Drosophila melanogaster: one gene and its partner. The protein of the gene in region 1 interacts with the protein of each later gene in a pairwise test. Each region holds a gene or a part of one and is shown on either strand. Other genes may lie near its edges. The genes, in order: CG9300 and CG9624.

Region 1 (9,470 bases):
GAAAAAGAGAGAATCAAAATGATAACTTTTCAGTTCGGAGCGAAACTGTACCCCCCTGTTCGGCATCGGCATCGGAATCGGCATTGGCATGGGCATGGGCATTATAATGATCACCGAGATCATGATGATGCTGCGTGAAAGAGGAAGAACACAAAAGGTGGCTGTGGAACCCAAACCCAAACTTCCACCGGCAAATGGCCAAGATCGATACAATTTTCGAGCACCATTCGGGTTTTCGGACACCAAAAGTCAGAGAACAGTAACAATGCCGAGCCACAGATACAAAGATACCCAGATACATATGGCTACATACATACGTATGTATATAGCTATATGGCTGTGTGGCGGCCATAAGGCGGGGGACTGAGACAAAGTCACCTTTTTGGTTATACAGGGAGAGACACAAGACGTGGAATGGGAACAAGATCATTGCATTTTTGCTGGCTGCTGGCTGTTTTTTGTTTTTGTTGCAGCCCCGAAGCCAGTTTCGCCCCAGCCTGGTAACAAGTTTGACTGAAAATTCTAAAAATAATGCCGGCCGGTTTGTCGTTTCCAAAAGAAAATCAAAAACACACAAAAAAGGGGGAATACGTAAAGAAAGAGTGGGCACAACTCCAGAGATGGTGCATCTGTAGGCGAGTGTGTGTGAGTGAAGGGTAGAAAAAAATAACCAACAGAAAAAGTAACATTTCGAAGGAAGGGACTAAGGATGCCAAGTGCCAAGTCACTCGATTTGGCTTACAGGCAGCTGCAATTGGTCCAGGGATGGACCACGATTCACAGGTGATTACCACTAGTGAATCTTTTTTCGTTTGGAAAATTTTTATATTTTATATACATATGTATATAATAATGTTTTCATACCAACATTATCATTTTCTAGCTCAAAAATACTTTTATTATTATTTTATTTTTTTTAGGATTATTTTTTATCAGGTTCAAGATATATGTTCAGAGAATAGCAACGCTAAATAAATTACTTTGCAAGTATTTAGGTTATTAAATAAATTACCGACTTTTGTTGTACGTGAAAACTTTAATAAAATATTTTAACAGCAATATTTTTAAGATATATTTTATTTTAATTTGTATTAACAAACAAAAGCAGCGAAACATATATCCCGAATTGATAACTAGTCTCCTTTTTATACCATGATGCTGCAGCCCTGAAGCTGACCGATGTTGCATCTTTCCTCTGCAGCGCCAAACCAATCTCGGGCCAAATCCCTAACCAGTCCGGCTGGCTTTGGTCATGAGTCCCTAGTGCCCAGTGCCTGGGCCCTGATGATCATGACGCTGCTAAATGTTGCCGGTGGTGCCCAGCATGGGGCAGGGGCAGCCGGTTGAGTCTGTGGTGCTGTCCCCCCTCCTCAGTCCTCAGCGCTTGTTTGCAACAAGTAACGAGCAGAGGAATCTGTATGGACGCACATACATATCTGCGGCAGTGTTTGCCGGGCCAAAGACTTGCTTACCTGCGGAGGCCGAGCTACCTGTGTCCAGGTAGGCGTATGCATGTGTGCCTATGCCCTATCCACATCCTTCGTCTCTGCAGTGGATGCAGCAGCCAGCGGTCAGCGGAGGCAGCGCAGCATCGGCAGCGAACCATCATTATGTTCAGGTATACACGTCTATATGTGTACATATACATATACACACTTTATATAAGGGCCAGCAGATTGTGATTGTCTCTCCTGGTATGACTCGGCATCTTGCTCTTGGTTATGGGGTAGCTAGGCGTCGGGCTCTTCTGCCATTGCTTAATGGTTTTAGGAAATCGAAAATTAAATAATTTATCTCGATTTTATGACGTTACAAGCAGGTTTTGATGCCCCCCGTTCCCATCCAGCACGCGATAAATCTCCGGCTTACAATCAGGAGAAATGCTGCCAGAACAAAAGCCCACATCCATTGCGATGACTTCGGCTTGCCGGTGATTTGAATAGCCACAGTTCTAGTGCCACAAAAAGAACGATGCTGCCAGTGGTCCCTGACCCTCGTCGTAATCAAAGACGGCCAGTGAATCAACCGAGGAGGGGGGCTATTTTTGTAAAACCCCAACTCGACTTGCTCATTATTTTGCCGCTTTTTGGCTGGTCATCGCTCTCAAGTGGCTCATTCGGGTCGAGATTGATTCGAAAGAAAGGTGCAGAGAAAGTGGTAAGGAAGCAGTGGACTTGGACCAAGTGGGTTGTTGCTGGACCTTGGCTTAAACACGGAAAAAAATCGGTGACTCTTTGAGTAAAACTATGCTTTTATATAATAAGATATATGCTTATAAGCAAGAAGTTTGTAATTTGCATTAACTGATTCTAACGCTCATTATACGCATCCTATTTTCAGTTACAAGCTACTCGGCTTTCAGATACTCATTACACAGCTAAAGGAAGGAAGGCAAAATTATTAATTAATGATAGAAATAACTAATTCGAAACGATATCAAAATATTTAAAAAGCTAATGTATTTGTATATGAGTTTTTAAAGGTGTACTGATTTTTTGTTAGGGGAAATGAATTGACTTGTCTCTCTGGTCGCTTGTGCTCGGATCGTCTGCGATTGATGGAAAAGTTTTCGGCTTAATTTTACCAGGCAGCTGGTACAGTTTTGATAATGGCCAAGATACTTTGTGGTCATTTGGATGTGGCTTAAAGTTGTATATATATAGGTATACTCTGCGAAACGTTGAAGACATTTCATCTAGTCACTAAATCTTACTCAACTGTCACTCGATTTAGAAGCTGTTTTGTTTACTGAAAATTTTCATCCTGTACGCATTTGCAAAATGTTTGTGCCAAACTAAATGTCTCGAAACATTCAGTGCATTCTTTTTAACTATATTTTCATATGAAAATTGTTCGTTTGTCTTATTGTTCAAATTTTATTAAACTTGAACTATTAAGGTTAAAATAATATCGGCCTTAGAACTGGATTCGTACATAAGAAAATAAAAAAAAAAAAACATATGGCCTAAGGTATACATATAAACACACATATAGTGGGCAGGGAGAATTTTAAAAGTTCTCTTGATATAACTTTACCTATTTATATATTGGTAAAAAATAATAAAAGAAAAATATCAAATGATTTTTAGGAATTGAGAGTGACAACTTGCAGTTGCTGTTTGTTAGCGTGACCAACAAACAAACAATAAAAAATATTGCATAATTTCAAATATTTTTTTTCAAGTGTGGTCGCTTTGGTAGGTTTGGGCGTTCTGTGGGATTGACAGTACTAAAATCTACATTCTTCACCTTAACTTTCTAGACGGGACGGACATCGACTGGTAATTCCGATCAAGAATAAATATACTTTATAGAGTCGGCAACTTTCATGGTAAACATGAAGCTGTGTTAATTCGGCCATCCGTCCGATCATTACCAAATAAATCTGAACTTCAATAAGAAAAAACTGAGTGATATGTGTACGTTTTACAAAAGGTAGAAATCCCGAATTTAAAGATTTTGTGCAAACAAAACTTTAATTTGTTTCGCCGTATATGGATTCCATGAAAAGCTCATTGCCATCTTCTGACTAATAAATCACACAATACTATTGTGTAAAAGATAATAGTAACACCTATCATGAATAAGATTGAATACAATCAATATAAATAAAAGTTAATTCTAGGTTTATTTGGCTTATTCAGTAAAAAACAAACTTAAGGAAACACTAAAGACCTTTATTATTTTTCTAGTAGAGCACCACCTCCTCAATCCCATACCAATTTGTAGAGTACATCGGTTTCACCTGACGTTTCTCCACAATATTTGTGAGCAGCGGCAGCAAATTGGCTAAATCGAATAAACTTTCTTCGTAGAAGGAGAGGAAAGTGGCCCATTCGGAGAGAGTCTCGAGCAATGCCTCGTCCTTGGAAATAATCAGCAGGGTGAAATGGGAGGTCAAGATGCAGCCAAACCACTGGATGGCCTGTACTTCCGTTTGAATTGGCGAGCAATTCAGGCTGGGTCGTTCCTCCAACTGGACATTGGGGTCATTGACCAGATCGAACAGGTGGCTCATCAAGTGCTGGACATGGGAGAGCTCCAGTCGGTAACGCAGATGCTCCTCGATGCCGGTGGCATCAAATCTGCAGGCTAGCACTGCATTTAGCAGTTCCTTGTTGGAGTAACTCTTAGCCGTTGGTACAGCGTTGGAATCGCCATTAATAGCATGACGAGGCTTGCATTTATCTAGAGCATAGCGCAGTGACCAGGCCAGCATTCTCTCCGATATGTTGCTGTAGCGCCTAAGACACATCAGGACATGCTCTGTGTTGTCGGTCTTGATGAAAAGTGTGAGAATCCTTTCGATGATTTCCTCTTCCCCAGCTCCACTTCTCTCCAGCTGCCGGACTAAAGCCTGCACAGCTGTATTATTCGGCCCCTTGTCAAAGAAGTTCGTCATTAGAGTGACACTCACGTCCTCCAGCCCATTCTCGCAAATGGTCGCCTCTCCATGAACATGCTGTTTGATAATTTCGTCGATCTCTTGATCCACTACCTCGGGAGGATCGTAAGCCAACTCCCGGCCATCAGCTTTTTGGTAGTCCAAGTTGGGCATCTGCTTATTTAACTGGGATTTCACAGCTCTATAATTTAAGGGTTTCGTACTACCATCAAACTTAATAAGCGACTCCAGATACTCCTCCTCGTTTATGTGATCCAATTCAATAGGCGAGAGGTGAGTATCACTAAACTGAGAGCCCAACATGTCCACCAGCACCTCCCGGTTCATTCGGTAACGGACCGCCGCTATATTATGCCCCATGGCCAAAAGGATGTGCTCATTCCCGGCCCAAAGGCGAGAGAAGTCCAGGTACACTTTAAAGTACTGCTTCGCGTTCACCACCTTAAACTGAGTGTTATAAACCAACAGAGAGGCGCCTTCCTGCCCATAGTTGGCGCCGTAGATGGCAGCAAAGTTTCGTGAGACTCCGTGCACGGATAGCTTGCTCTCCACATTCAGCTCGGCCAGCATAGATACGAATTGTCCAGGGGATCGCTCTGATGTGGCCTCCGCCAGGTTAAGCATGAAGATGCGTTTATCAGACCCTGTAAAATTAAATAAATTTATAGTTTTCGTTCTTACATCAAAACTCATTCCTCACACTGATATAACTAAAGTTACTTACAAATGGTCAGCAACTGAGGATCTGCATCGCCCTCGACGACAGCATATCCCGTGAGGCGAACCTCTTCCCGCTTAATGAGGTACTTCCGCCGGTCAGCCGTGTCCAGGGAGAGGCGGATAAGCTGCATTTCGCCGGTGGCCTTTGTTTCCTCGAAATATGTGAGCACCTGCTGGCCCTGGGCCAATGCGTGGACTGTGGGCTTGCTGATGACCTTGCTGGCGGCTAGGGCCAGTTGCTCAGCCGTATCCTCCTTCTGGTCCTTTCTCGAAGCCAATGCCTGGGAAAGGGTTTGGCACTCGCCATCGCTGTAGAGGATTAATGCCTCCTGTTCGGTTGCCACCACGTGAGCGATGCTTTTCTGAAACTGTAAGGAAAGCGTATTATCCACAATTATATGCTGAATTTTAGCTGCCCATACCTTCAGCTTCTTGCACTTGGACACATCACTGGTGTCCACATCCCAAAGACGCAGCGCGTGATTTCCAAAGACGCCCACATACTTCTGGCTGCTGGGATCGTATATAACCTTGGAGGAAAGCTTCTCCGGCAGGGACCAACTGAGCAACTGCTTTTGTGTGCTGATCTATAAGGAAATCGCGTTTGTTACATGGGCATTTTGATATTTTGGTGTCCAAACGCACGTTCAAAACAACCACCACGTTGCGCGCCAACGTAGTCACCACATTGCCATTTTCCCTGTCTGCAGCTAGGCCCAGAAACTCCTTGGGGTCGGGGATGGGAAACAGGTTGTAGTAGGACAGGAATTTGGACATTATTTAATTGAATTGAAAACAATTGCAGCACGTGCAAAGCGGCATCCAAAACTAAACCACAGGGCGATTCGTGCCATTGAAATCAGTGTTTTGGTATTTAAAATACCGACAGTAAGGCTGCCAGACCTCTGCGAAATACGAACACAAATGGTTGCCGGACCTGCCACGTGCTATCGATAAGAGGAAGAGACAGAAGAAGAAGAGAGAAATGGGTGGAAAGACAAAACAAGCGCCGCGCACCAAAAATAATGCCAAGGTAAGGCGTAGTAAGGTATTAATATGTTATTTAACCGTGCCCTCGACCCCCCATCATCCAGCCCTCGAGCAGCAGCCGAACAGCCGAGCTGCTGGGCAGTTCCACGCCCATATTCGTGGGATTCTCGGCGCAGACGGACGGCGGTGGCCTGGTGCCATTTGCTCCGGGATTCGCCAGCGCCGAACAAATGCCGGACAGCTTTGATGCGGCCATCAGTCCGCAAACGCAGATCATCCTTCGAAAGCTGTCCAAAAAGGATCCAATGACGAAGAAGAAGGCGCTGCAGGAGCTACACGAACTGATCGAGCAGTCTGACGTGGAGGTCCTCAAGAACATTCTGCCTCTGTGGCCCAAGTACTACCTCAATCTGGCTAGCGATCCGGAGCACACTGTTCGCGAACAGACACAGACTGTGCTGCAGTTGCTCATGGCCAAGTGTAAAAAGGCGATGGCTCCATATCTAAAGTTACTTGTGCCCGTTTGGCTGGGCAGCCGATTTGATACCTACGCTCCGGCGGCCAGTATTGCGAGCCAATCCTTTCGAGACACCTTTGCTGGCAACGCCAACCGATCTCGGGAAGTCTGCATGCACTGTCAGGTGGAGATTCTCGAGTACGCCACACGTAACCTGACCTTCCACACAGCCGCTACTCTGTCGATTGGGAAAAGTCTCACTCCGGAGGATGCGGAACAGAAGTACCAGCGCGTTATCATCAGTAGTCTCAAGCTGTTGTCCTTTTTCATGGGGCAAACTGCGCAGACGGAGGAGCTCAGCCAGGTCAAGGAGGGCTTCGGCACCCTGGTGGCACACCAGAAGTTCTGGAGCTTCGCCAAGCATAAAGTGCCTGCCATTAAGTAAGTAAACAGACAAGTCATTTACCATGTATTTAATTTCTGTTTCACATTTTATAGAGCCGCCTGGTTCGAGTGCATATATCACATCCTGCAATCGGTTGCACTTTTGGATGTGATCACGCCTCAGAAGACGCAGCTGACTAACCTCTGCTTTCAGTTTATTGACGATGCAGATCCCGTGGTGGCTCCCCACATTTGGGGGTGCGTTCTGCTCCTACAAAGTAACTACGTAGATTGGTAAGACCTAGGATCTACTATAAGTGAATTCCAATAATAAAGTTTAATATTTGTAGGTTCGTTCCACTGAACATTCGCAAGACACTTCTCCCCAAACTTTCGTCTTTGCTCCAAAATGGTTTCAATCGCAACGCCCAGGCCATCTGTCCCAATCTGCTGCCATTTTTGTCGAAAGTTACACAAGCATCCCTTCAAGACCTGGATATCTACGATTTCTATCAGCGCTTCTTTGACGACATGAAGCTGGCAGTCACTAAGAAATTCGATCCTCCGCTTTCCAAATCCGATTGTATTGTGATACATAATGCATATTTTGAGTGCCTACGCTTCTTGATGCAGCAGATTAACAACAACAAACAGCGAGAGCAGAAGGAGGAGGAATTTTCCTTTAGCCTACTCGATAACAACGTACTTGAACCCATTGCCTGGCTGCTCAAAAGCGATAGCACGCATGTAAAAATTTTCTTCCAGCACAGTTCAGCCCTGGTGGCCTTCTGGGATCGTCAGATTAATAATAGATTGGATAATGGTGACCTTTATGCCAAATTGCTGAACAAGTTCTGGATACGCATCTTTGAGCTGGTCACACAAGACCTATCGGCCGAGGAGGTGAATGAGCAACTGCTCGGACATGTCTTGCTTTTAGTGCAGGATCTGCATATGGCTAATCCTAGCCTGGAGTCGCCGAGTGTGAAGTTTGTCGAGGGGCCAAACGAAAAGATCGAGAAGAGCGAACCCACAACACCAGTTAAAAAGGCTCAAGAAGCTGCTGCTTTTATACAAAAGGAATTGAAGCAGTTGGTTATAAAGTTAGTGCGCATATGCCTGGATAAGGCCAACAAAGGCAGTGGGAGTGGTACTTCGAGCTCGCGTTACATCGAACAAATTCGAACGCTTACAAAAATGTTTAACGATGCCGCGTTCTACAAAAGTTTAACTGATGATGGAGACCTTGCGTCGGCGTTAAATAAATTTGTGTCACTGCTAGGTCAACTAAGTTGTCAGGCCTGTGAATCTGTGGTGGAGATCGTGTTTGAAATCCTGCCGCTGCTAGAGACTGGAAAACGCTTTGAATATATTGAAAACACTCTCATGAAGGTAGTTACCAATTTTAAAGTGTATAAAAAAAATATTAAATTATTATTATTCTTTACAGCTTCCACAACATGGCGTGCAAAATCTTTTGCTGCATCGTCTACTATCATATCCCCTATGCGCCGAGGCCGCCGTGAGGCAAATGCTAAGTGGTCCGGAAACTTGTGAAATGATTGCGCGGATAGCTGAGGAGGTTGTTGTAGACAATGATCGGGAGAAGCTGAACTTGCTTCACAAGTGTTTTTTCCAAACTGACACGGGAGACATACTCATTAATGCTAAAACTGTGGATAAAATACTGCTGTCCATGTGCGGACCCTTGGAGCAACCGGTTGTCGATGACGCGGTGGAAGTGTGTGGCAGTTTTATTGCCCAGATAATGCCTGTGATTTGCAGCAACAATAACTCTTCGCTGCACGTGCGCCAACACATCTTCCTCAAACTGTTCAAATTTAGTTTGGAGCACCGACCAGAGGATTATCTGTCGGAGGATACTCTGTGGGAAATTACCACTTGCTGGCAGGATGGACTTTCTAGCAAAGATATCGAAATCGATGATGACATGCTAAAGTGTTGCGCAGGGATTGTTGAGGAATTGGCAAATTCAGCAGAACTTAAAGCGGATACTTTGGATGGAATGGCAGAGGCGATGGCCAAGTTTGTTATTTGCTCAACGGAAAATATTGAAGATGAGTATAAGCGCTTGGAGCGAATCGATGAAACATTAACTGCTCTTCTGGAAACGCCCCTAAAAACGACTGACAAGGTTCAACAGTTTGAGAACCATTGTGTACTCCTAGAAGCCTTGCACGGATCTGTGACTGCGGGAGTTCCGTTCGAAAATGCTTGCCTCTCAAGAAATGAAATACTACCATTGCTTCAACGTTCCACACTCAACTTTTCTACAATCTACAAGCTCGTCTATCAATTCCCACCACCTCAAGACACCAACGACCCAGAGGATGAGTTGACCGAGGACTATTGTGATCCAAATGCTGATGTGCTCAAAAAATGGAACGAACCCTTAATTGCAGAGCTTTTACAGTGCATTCGAGTGGCTGGAACAGCAGAATGCTGGCTGGAAATGTCAGTCTTGCAATCGTCGACAGAGGAGTTAGTGTTGAT
Region 2 (7,964 bases), on another chromosome or scaffold:
CAAATGTCTAGAAGCCATCTGCCTTCTGTGTTTTGAGCGAAAATCCCCTCTCTAGTAATCTTTGACTAATTCGTATAAACAAAACAAGAGCTTCAATACAAAGAGTTTACAAATTATCATCAATTTAATTTTAAGCTTATGATCATAGATCGAATTACTATTCTCAACATGGATGGGCTAACACTGATCGAATGTGTTAATTGATAAGGTGCTAATACGACTAAAGAAATTAAAAATTACATTTATCTTTACTGATAAGCTAGTGAGTCAAAACCCTGCTGTTGCTCACAACTGATTTTCTTGCTCTTGAGTCAAAAGTATTATTAACAAGAGATCTGACATACAGCCTTATTTGTTTATAGTTCTTATTATTATTACTCTCTGATGAGCTCTCACTTGTTTAAATCGAATTCCAAAAGCACTAATAATCTATTCCTCTCTTTAGAAAATTTGTAATCAATGATTGCAAACATCTGCACTTTAAGTCATAGGCTTAAAGCAAGGGTTTTATTTTAGCGCAAAGTATACACTTAATAGATTGTTGGCACCAATGCATGCTTGGGAAATCCACCGACTAGGAAAAGGTAATCTATTATACGACTTAAAGATTTATTGAGAATTTTGTACATAAATTTCCGTGTTTTCCTGTATTGTCACATTATAATTATTTCAGCGCCTCACATGACCATATTTTGACGTACCCAGTCAATGTGCCGTGCAACATCGCAATAGATAACATACTTGCTAAGGTCGCAAATCTCTCCGTGGCGAGGCGATAAAGAGACCACACCACGAACGTACCATCGATTGTTACGCAGGACGATCAGAGCAGATCCCGAGTCTCCGAAGCAGGGACCATGTGATTCTGAATTGCCGGCACAGACGGTCCGCCGCGTGATGAAGTCCTCCGCCCGCTTCATCTCCTTGAGACACTGATCCCGGGGCACCAATCGAACACTCACTGTCTTGGGAAACCGCGTCTTCTGGGCACTCCTGTCGTAGCCCCAACCGGCTACTGCTCCAGTATCGCCCTCATTCGGTGGCAATCCCATATTGGAGCCCCAAAGGCAGAGGGGTCGAATGTACTTGGTGTACACCATCGGAGAGGTCAGCACCAGCAGACCAACGTCCGCATCCGGAACTGGATTGCCCTCGTAGGCGGACGGAGTCAGCACGCTGGTCACGCTAACCAGGGAGGCTCCATTCTCAGGATTCTCGTTGCGATCATGCCTGCCCAAATAGACCCAAAGCTGGCTGGCGCTCTTTCCATAAATGCAGTGAGCTGCCGTGATCACAGTCCGTTTGGAGATAACCGACACCACGCATTTGTATGTAGCCGTGCCAACACCTTCGTAAAGGGCCGCGAGCCAGGGGTACTGACCGCGGGTCACCAGGTCGCCTCCGATTTGAAGAGGCGAAAAGCCCTCAACGCCGCATTCCTCAAAGTCCGAATCTATTCTGGGCATGATTGAAGGAAGGAAAGGATTGGGGTCATTGCTCGGTGTGCTCGGCGGCGGACGCCGCTGACGCACTATTTCTCTTGGTGCTGACTTTTGACTAATTGGCGTTGAGGTGGACATGGACTGGCGTCGGGTCATTGTGCTTGAAGGGGCATCATCTGCACAAAGTAAAAAGAAAGATATGAGAAAATTATCATCAACTATATGAGATCATCTACTATATAGAATATCTTTAGGGTAACAATAATTATTTCAAAGTAATTTAACTAAAGATATTCTATCTAGTTTTATTATTACTCACACTCCTCATTTTGACACAGAACCTCGCCGTTGAATTCCGCCCGGACAAGTTTGGGCAGCTCGTTTCCAAAATCCGTGAAACGCACAAACACCTCGCCACGTTCTCCGCTGTGTATCTTTTCAAAGGCCCTTTCCTTATTGGGATACGGAATGAGTGAGCCCACAGTGTTTGCCTGCATGGGGGGATATCAGAATGTTGAATCAGTTGAAATAAACAAATATATATGTAATTTGTTAGGGCTTTACCTCACCAGTTCCGTGAGCAGTGAAAACCACCTCCCATGATAGGCTGTTCACACCAGCGCGTGGCGCCGTGAAGACGCCAATGTAGGCTCCACTGTCCTCTTTGTAGTAGGAGAAATACCTCTCACAATTATGCTGCGGCACGTGCAACGCCGACCCGAGTTTCAGATTGAGACAAAGGCCCAGCAAGGTCAGCCACAAGATTGTCATTGCGACGGTAACAACCAATGCTGAATGGAACTGAATGAGAACTGGGATCGAAATCGGAATCCACAAGCGACTATCGATGCACTCCCTCTCCATGTAACAGCTGATCTCTCGCCAGATTGCGGAGCACCCCCATTGAGTGATCACTGGTTATTCCCAGCCATATCAAGTCTTCGGCTTAGTACTATTTTTAATCATTCAACTAACTAACAGCTATTTAAGAACCTGGTTCTCCACGGAACTATTTAACAGAGGAGCTACTGTTGAGAGAAAAATCCCCATCTAAGTAAACATGTGACTTGTTTTACAAACCCACTGTATGTACTCGTATATATATGATATGCTCGTAGCTAACTGAAGAAATATTTTCTTCTCTTTTTCTGATCTTGCTCAATTTTTATAGCAAAAAACTGTTCAGTATCAATCGAGAACTGTTGTAAAACACAACTTTTTGTGGCTTAGTTTACGCCTGACAGCAATTTAAAATTTAAACAGCTAGCATTGGCTTTTAAAGCACAAGTACTCTTTAATTTATCTTATTTGTTTGGGCAATTTGTTTTTGATGCTATAAGAAACATTTACGAACTGATAAGAAAAGTATTACTTTTTAAATTTATTTTTCTATACTTCTACTGACTTTTTACATTTTCAAGATCTGTGGCGGCTCCTCTTAAAAATCGCGTAAGTTTTGCTCAAAGCTATTATCAGGCGTGGCAAGGTGGCTTATGTGAATTTCTATTGAAAATTATGTTTGTGGGTCGACGTTTATAGCGACAACGCATTTGGCCAAAAAAAACTTTTTCCAACAAAACAAAAAGGAAGCCCGTAGAGAATGAGGGGAAGTGCTCCTAACTTCACGATACCCGCAACTCAATTTTGCTGCATTGTGGCCGCCGGTCCCCCAATTTGCCCCAACTGCCTGCCGGCAACTTTTATAATCAGTTTCAAGTTTGTTAAGCTTTGTAATAATTTGTTGAGATTTGGTGCGAAATTTTTCGATTTCGTTTCTTTTTCGCAAACAAACTTGTTGTGAATTGTGCCGTGGGCTCAAGTCTGCCAACTTAGCGGAGGCACTTTGACAACACATCGGAAAATGGTGGTGCAGGCTTCCGCCTGCGTCAATAATCGGGTGGCAAGTGGCAGGTAGCGTGCGTCTGACTGCACTTGAAGGCAGCTCCAATTGGGCGGCCTAATTGAAGCGGTTCCTGTTCGGGCGCCACTTCAACATGATGGCTTGAACGGCCGGGCGGAGCAAATCAAGTCGTATCAAATTAGGCGACGTGAATAAGTATTAAACTGGGCTAAAACAGATGTTATGATGTTTAAATTCGATTTATTGCATGTAATATATATAATCTTGTGTAAACTTGAGATTTTTTTTACATTTTGAAATTTTTTTAAAAGCAATAAATAATTACTTGTCTATAGCAACTTCAGTTGGCATTTGCTAATAACTGCTGATGGAAATTAATTGAAAGAATTTGTTCTATGCCCGTCGGATTATCTTATAGGTATCGCAGGTGCAGATGCCACGAAAACGACTAAATACGAAGACAAATGGCTCTCCGCAGGACTTAAGGAGCTGATTTTTCTGTGCGTGCACAAAAGCTGTGCGAAGGGAGTATTGCACCTCATCGTGCCATGAGTTATCAGCCGATTCTTCCACCAAATACGTGTGGAAGACATTGAGCACCTGAAGCGATCGTTCCATGCGAGGTGTTCGAGGCAATGCCAGTAACTGAATATATGGACGAAACTTTATCCAGCGCTGGCAGTCCTTAATGTCCACATCAGTGCCCAGATCGATAATCATTAGCTTGCAGTCGTGATCATGAATGGCCCTCAAGATGTCCAGCTCCATGGGTCCCTTGAAGCACTTCTGCAGCTCCTCAGTGATGGTGAAGCCCAGTTCGTGACTGGGAGTTTGCATGGTCCAAGGATAGCGCCGATTGGCAAAGTCGTACGCCAACTTCTGGCGACGCTCCTGCTCCATCCTCAGTTTGTTTACCACCTCATCTATGGGTCTAATGTCCCGGGATCCATGGCGCAGAAAGTCCACCTGATTCGACGCCGTTCGCTCCTCCACCTCCTGGTTTAAGGCATTCTCAGCATCCTCGTTCTCGATCTCCTCCCTTTGGGCTCCTTTGCAGCAGCGCAGCTCATGTGGCGGCATGTAGAAAGGAAAGCCCACCTGGGACAGATAGATATGCCAATCCAGTCGATTGAAGGGCTGCCGGGGCACAAAGAATTCGTCCGGCTTGGTCTCGATGCGACAGACATTCTCGTCCAGGATCAATGGCCATAGCACGTCGAAGAAGGGGCTACCCAGCGTTCGTTTGACTTCGGAGGTATTCATTTTGGGTACTTGGAATTTCTATTCATGTAATTTGGCCTGGCTAGCAAATGTGTGTCTATGGCAGAATTTCCGTTGCCTCGCTATCAAATGCTTAATAGGGTGACACAAATCTGCTGGCATCTACATTAAAATACACCTAGAAATATTTGGATTTCTTAATTTCAGCCCAAAACTTAATATACATTATTTCAACAGATTTTTACGTATATTAACATGTTTACAGAGTCTTTAGTTTCGTAGCTTAAAATAAGAATTAAAATTTATAAAATGTATATATGCTTATTATCTTTTTTCAAAAAATTCGCAGCAGTGAAAGCACATCCCTTCCTATCAGCGAAATAAATCAGCTACTGGCACGCCCCCTAATAACAAAGCCCTCCCACATTTTTCTATAGCTAAACTTGTTTGTTTGCATTTGTTGCCAAATTTATGCGCACTCACAGGCAATAACGGTAAGTAAGTATTCTCATCGGGAATCGGCAACAACAATTTGCGTAAATTTTACGACATTCCATGCCGTATATTCACGGTAGCCGACGATCGCCATTATTTTATGAGCTGAAACAGTGAGGTGAAACAGGATTTTATGACGGAATGCAGGCGCAACAAGATGGCCGCGATTTTCATTATGCCCCAGTTCGAACATACATACATATATATTAGTTTAAGGAGGGCGTGGCAGATCCGAAGGGGAAATGGCTGTGACAACGGTGACGAGTTTTCGGGCTCATTAGCTTTTATGGCTTTGCTTTTATTGCTCGCGGCGTGGCAGCTTTAATTTCAAACACAAAGTGTTGCCTATCGCAGGGCGCTCGGGCGCCTGGTTTTTGGTCCTCCGCATGTGAGCAATAAATTTTCATAAATCAATTGTTCGTGCCACGTTGAACACAATCAGTGGGCTTACAAATCGAAGGCACCTAGCAAAAATCCAATCCACAAAAGGTTTGAATTTAGATTTATGTCGGTGCACCGAAAACCGAGTGACGAATGCCTATTTTACGCCTCGATGTTCAAACACTTATTGTTTTAATATTCAGCGCCAGTGCGAAATTTTGATTCGAACCCACGATTTTAATTTTACCACGATGATTTATCGCATCCGGTTAGCCTTAGTTGCCTTCTAATTTTCAAAATTTAATTTTGCTTTCGCTGGAAAATTTAAAGCCATAAGTGACCGGGAGCTAAAAACACCGTATTTGTTTTACTTTTTATTTCGTTTCATCTATCAAAACGCGACGACTTTTTCCAGCTCTCTGGCCACAAAAAAAAGTTGTCCTCTATATGCGGGATGTGTATAAAAATTTATGTGTATATTTATTGTGTTTTATTGGGGCACTTAAGCGTCAGACTGTAAGAGAAAACCGCGAGAGCAAAAACCGAAAGAAAAAGCGAAGTCAGCTGTATTAAAAAAAGTCAAGGAAAAAGCCATGCAAAAGAAAAACTGAAACAAGTAAGGACAACTGAGACGCTTATTGACATAAAAGCCAATCATTTTCAAATGGCTTTAAGCATTCGACAAATGGAAAAGCAGCCCCAACATCAAACGGAAAATATACACAAAACTCGAGCGTAAAACTGGAGTCATTTTTTTTATTATTTTTTTTTTTTTGGCTATGCATTTGAGTTGGCACACCGCAGAGAAAAGGCCACAGGAACTTCCAGTAGATGCACTTTGAACCCGTTCTGCGGTTTGAGGTTCTCTACATAAATAAAAGCCTTACAGAATTTTTTTGCCAGAAAAATAGATACGCGGAATTCAGCGTCTCAAAAGGGAATGCTTGAATATGAAGGCAAGTAAAGGGACTTTTTAAACTTGCCACCATCAGACTATTGAATATGAATTAAATTATCACTAGAGTGTGAAAAAAATATGATTGATGCAGTGCTGTTCATCCATCAATCATCGAAAAACACTGGTGCAATGTTCTCGTCGTTGATATCTTTTATGCAAGTTGTTAGCTATAGCAGCTCATAAGAAAACGAAATTGACTATTATTTTACAATTGGGAAAGTTTTAAAATTGTGAAAATATAATATGCGCAGAATTTCTTTTGTTTCGCAATCCTCCGTTTTGACAGCACCAATAAAAAAGAATATTTATTATTTAAAATCTGTTTTTTGTCAGGTGTTGATAAATATATATTTCAAAGTAGCAACTTAAATATTCAATTATTGTTATTTTGATCCGAAAATTGGGCAGCGGACTAAGAACATAAATTCGTACACATTTGCGTGGGTAGTTGGACATGTATGGAATGGTTCCTTGAACATTTTCCGAAAACACCCACATTCATATTGTGCGAGTGAAGTGAAAGTCGGACGACAGCTTCTTTATTTCAGTTCAAGGCCGGGTATTCATAAGCAAAACAAAACCTACGAACAAAGCGCTGGCTCAAGGCACCTCAAGAGATTCCCTCGGTCTGGGAACCTGGACTGGCTTACAAATGAGTCTGCCACCTCAAATAACAAAGCGAATGCGGCACGCACCACAACACCGAGAAAAAACTGTCCCATAAACAAGACCTTTCAACTTTCTAATCTAAAGAATATCTTACTATAACTAAAGAGAACATGATTTTCGTTTAAACTTGATTCCAAGAAACATTATTAAGATTGCATCATAAATATATGCTTATTAAATCATAAAAGGGCATCAAAGCCAATACATTTTTCGCAGTGTAGCAATAGCAGCAATAGATGGTTGGAGTGATGAATTTCTGGCCGGCCAGGCATTAATTCCATTTAATTATTATGACACCAGAGGGCAGCGCAAACAGACCGCAATAATAGTGGAGGCTGACAAAGCAATTGCAAACACCTTGGGTGCTGAGTGCTGCTTACCAGGTTTGTCCCAAATCCCCAGATGCTCTAATCTATTCTAATGGCTAGTGTCGTGCCCAGCGATTTGCGAATCAGCTGAGGGCACATTTGTCATACGCCATGTGGGCGCGTCGGCGTACGCGGCGAATGCGCAACGTGTGCAAAACGGTCACAAAGTTTGCCGCAACTTGGGCCAAGTTTTCCGGCTCAAGTCGAGCGGGAAAAGCGTCGAGCAGGACTAGTACAACATCGTTTTCACGCTTGCCCTGTCAAGTGAAACCAATTTGCGCATTTTGTCTGCATCGCAAGGCATTCCATCGGATCGTCTTATTCCTGGTCTTATTCCTCTTCTTGTTTTTGGCTGCAGACTGCCATGGAGTGGCAGTCGCCTTAAATTTTCCTCGTCCTGCACTTGACATTCAATTTTCCCTCGAAGCCACAGCCGTCTAATGAATGCAATTTCGAATTCGACCCAACTGCTGATTACGATTTCCCTTGGGTGCAGTCAAAGCTATCAGTTGGCTTGAGGATCCTCAAGACGCTTGGGGTGCGATGAAAGTGGGTCTCAATGGGTCCTG

Evidence for each region.
Region 2: the proteins of CG9300 (region 1) and CG9624 interact in a two-hybrid assay, tested with the Drosophila melanogaster proteins (one large-scale study listed by BioGRID).

What each region holds. Positions count from the first base shown.
Region 1 is NT_037436.4:19,548,908-19,558,377, reverse strand, and holds CG9300 (uncharacterized protein), read right to left. Parts: upstream 5,959-9,470; 5' UTR 5,903-5,958; coding exon 5,771-5,902; intron 5,713-5,770; coding exon 5,548-5,712; intron 5,494-5,547; coding exon 5,130-5,493; intron 5,050-5,129; coding exon 3,689-5,049; 3' UTR 3,611-3,688; downstream 1-3,610. Other genes in the region: Ltn1 (listerin E3 ubiquitin protein ligase 1), read left to right, coding at 6,111-6,158, 6,220-7,013, 7,071-7,250, 7,307-8,348, 8,407-9,470.
Region 2 is NT_033777.3:14,224,504-14,232,467, forward strand, and holds CG9624 (uncharacterized protein), read right to left. Parts: upstream 4,643-7,964; 5' UTR 4,567-4,642; coding exon 3,697-4,566; 3' UTR 3,515-3,696; downstream 1-3,514. Other genes in the region: CG9631 (uncharacterized protein), read right to left, coding at 678-1,618, 1,762-1,933, 2,007-2,213.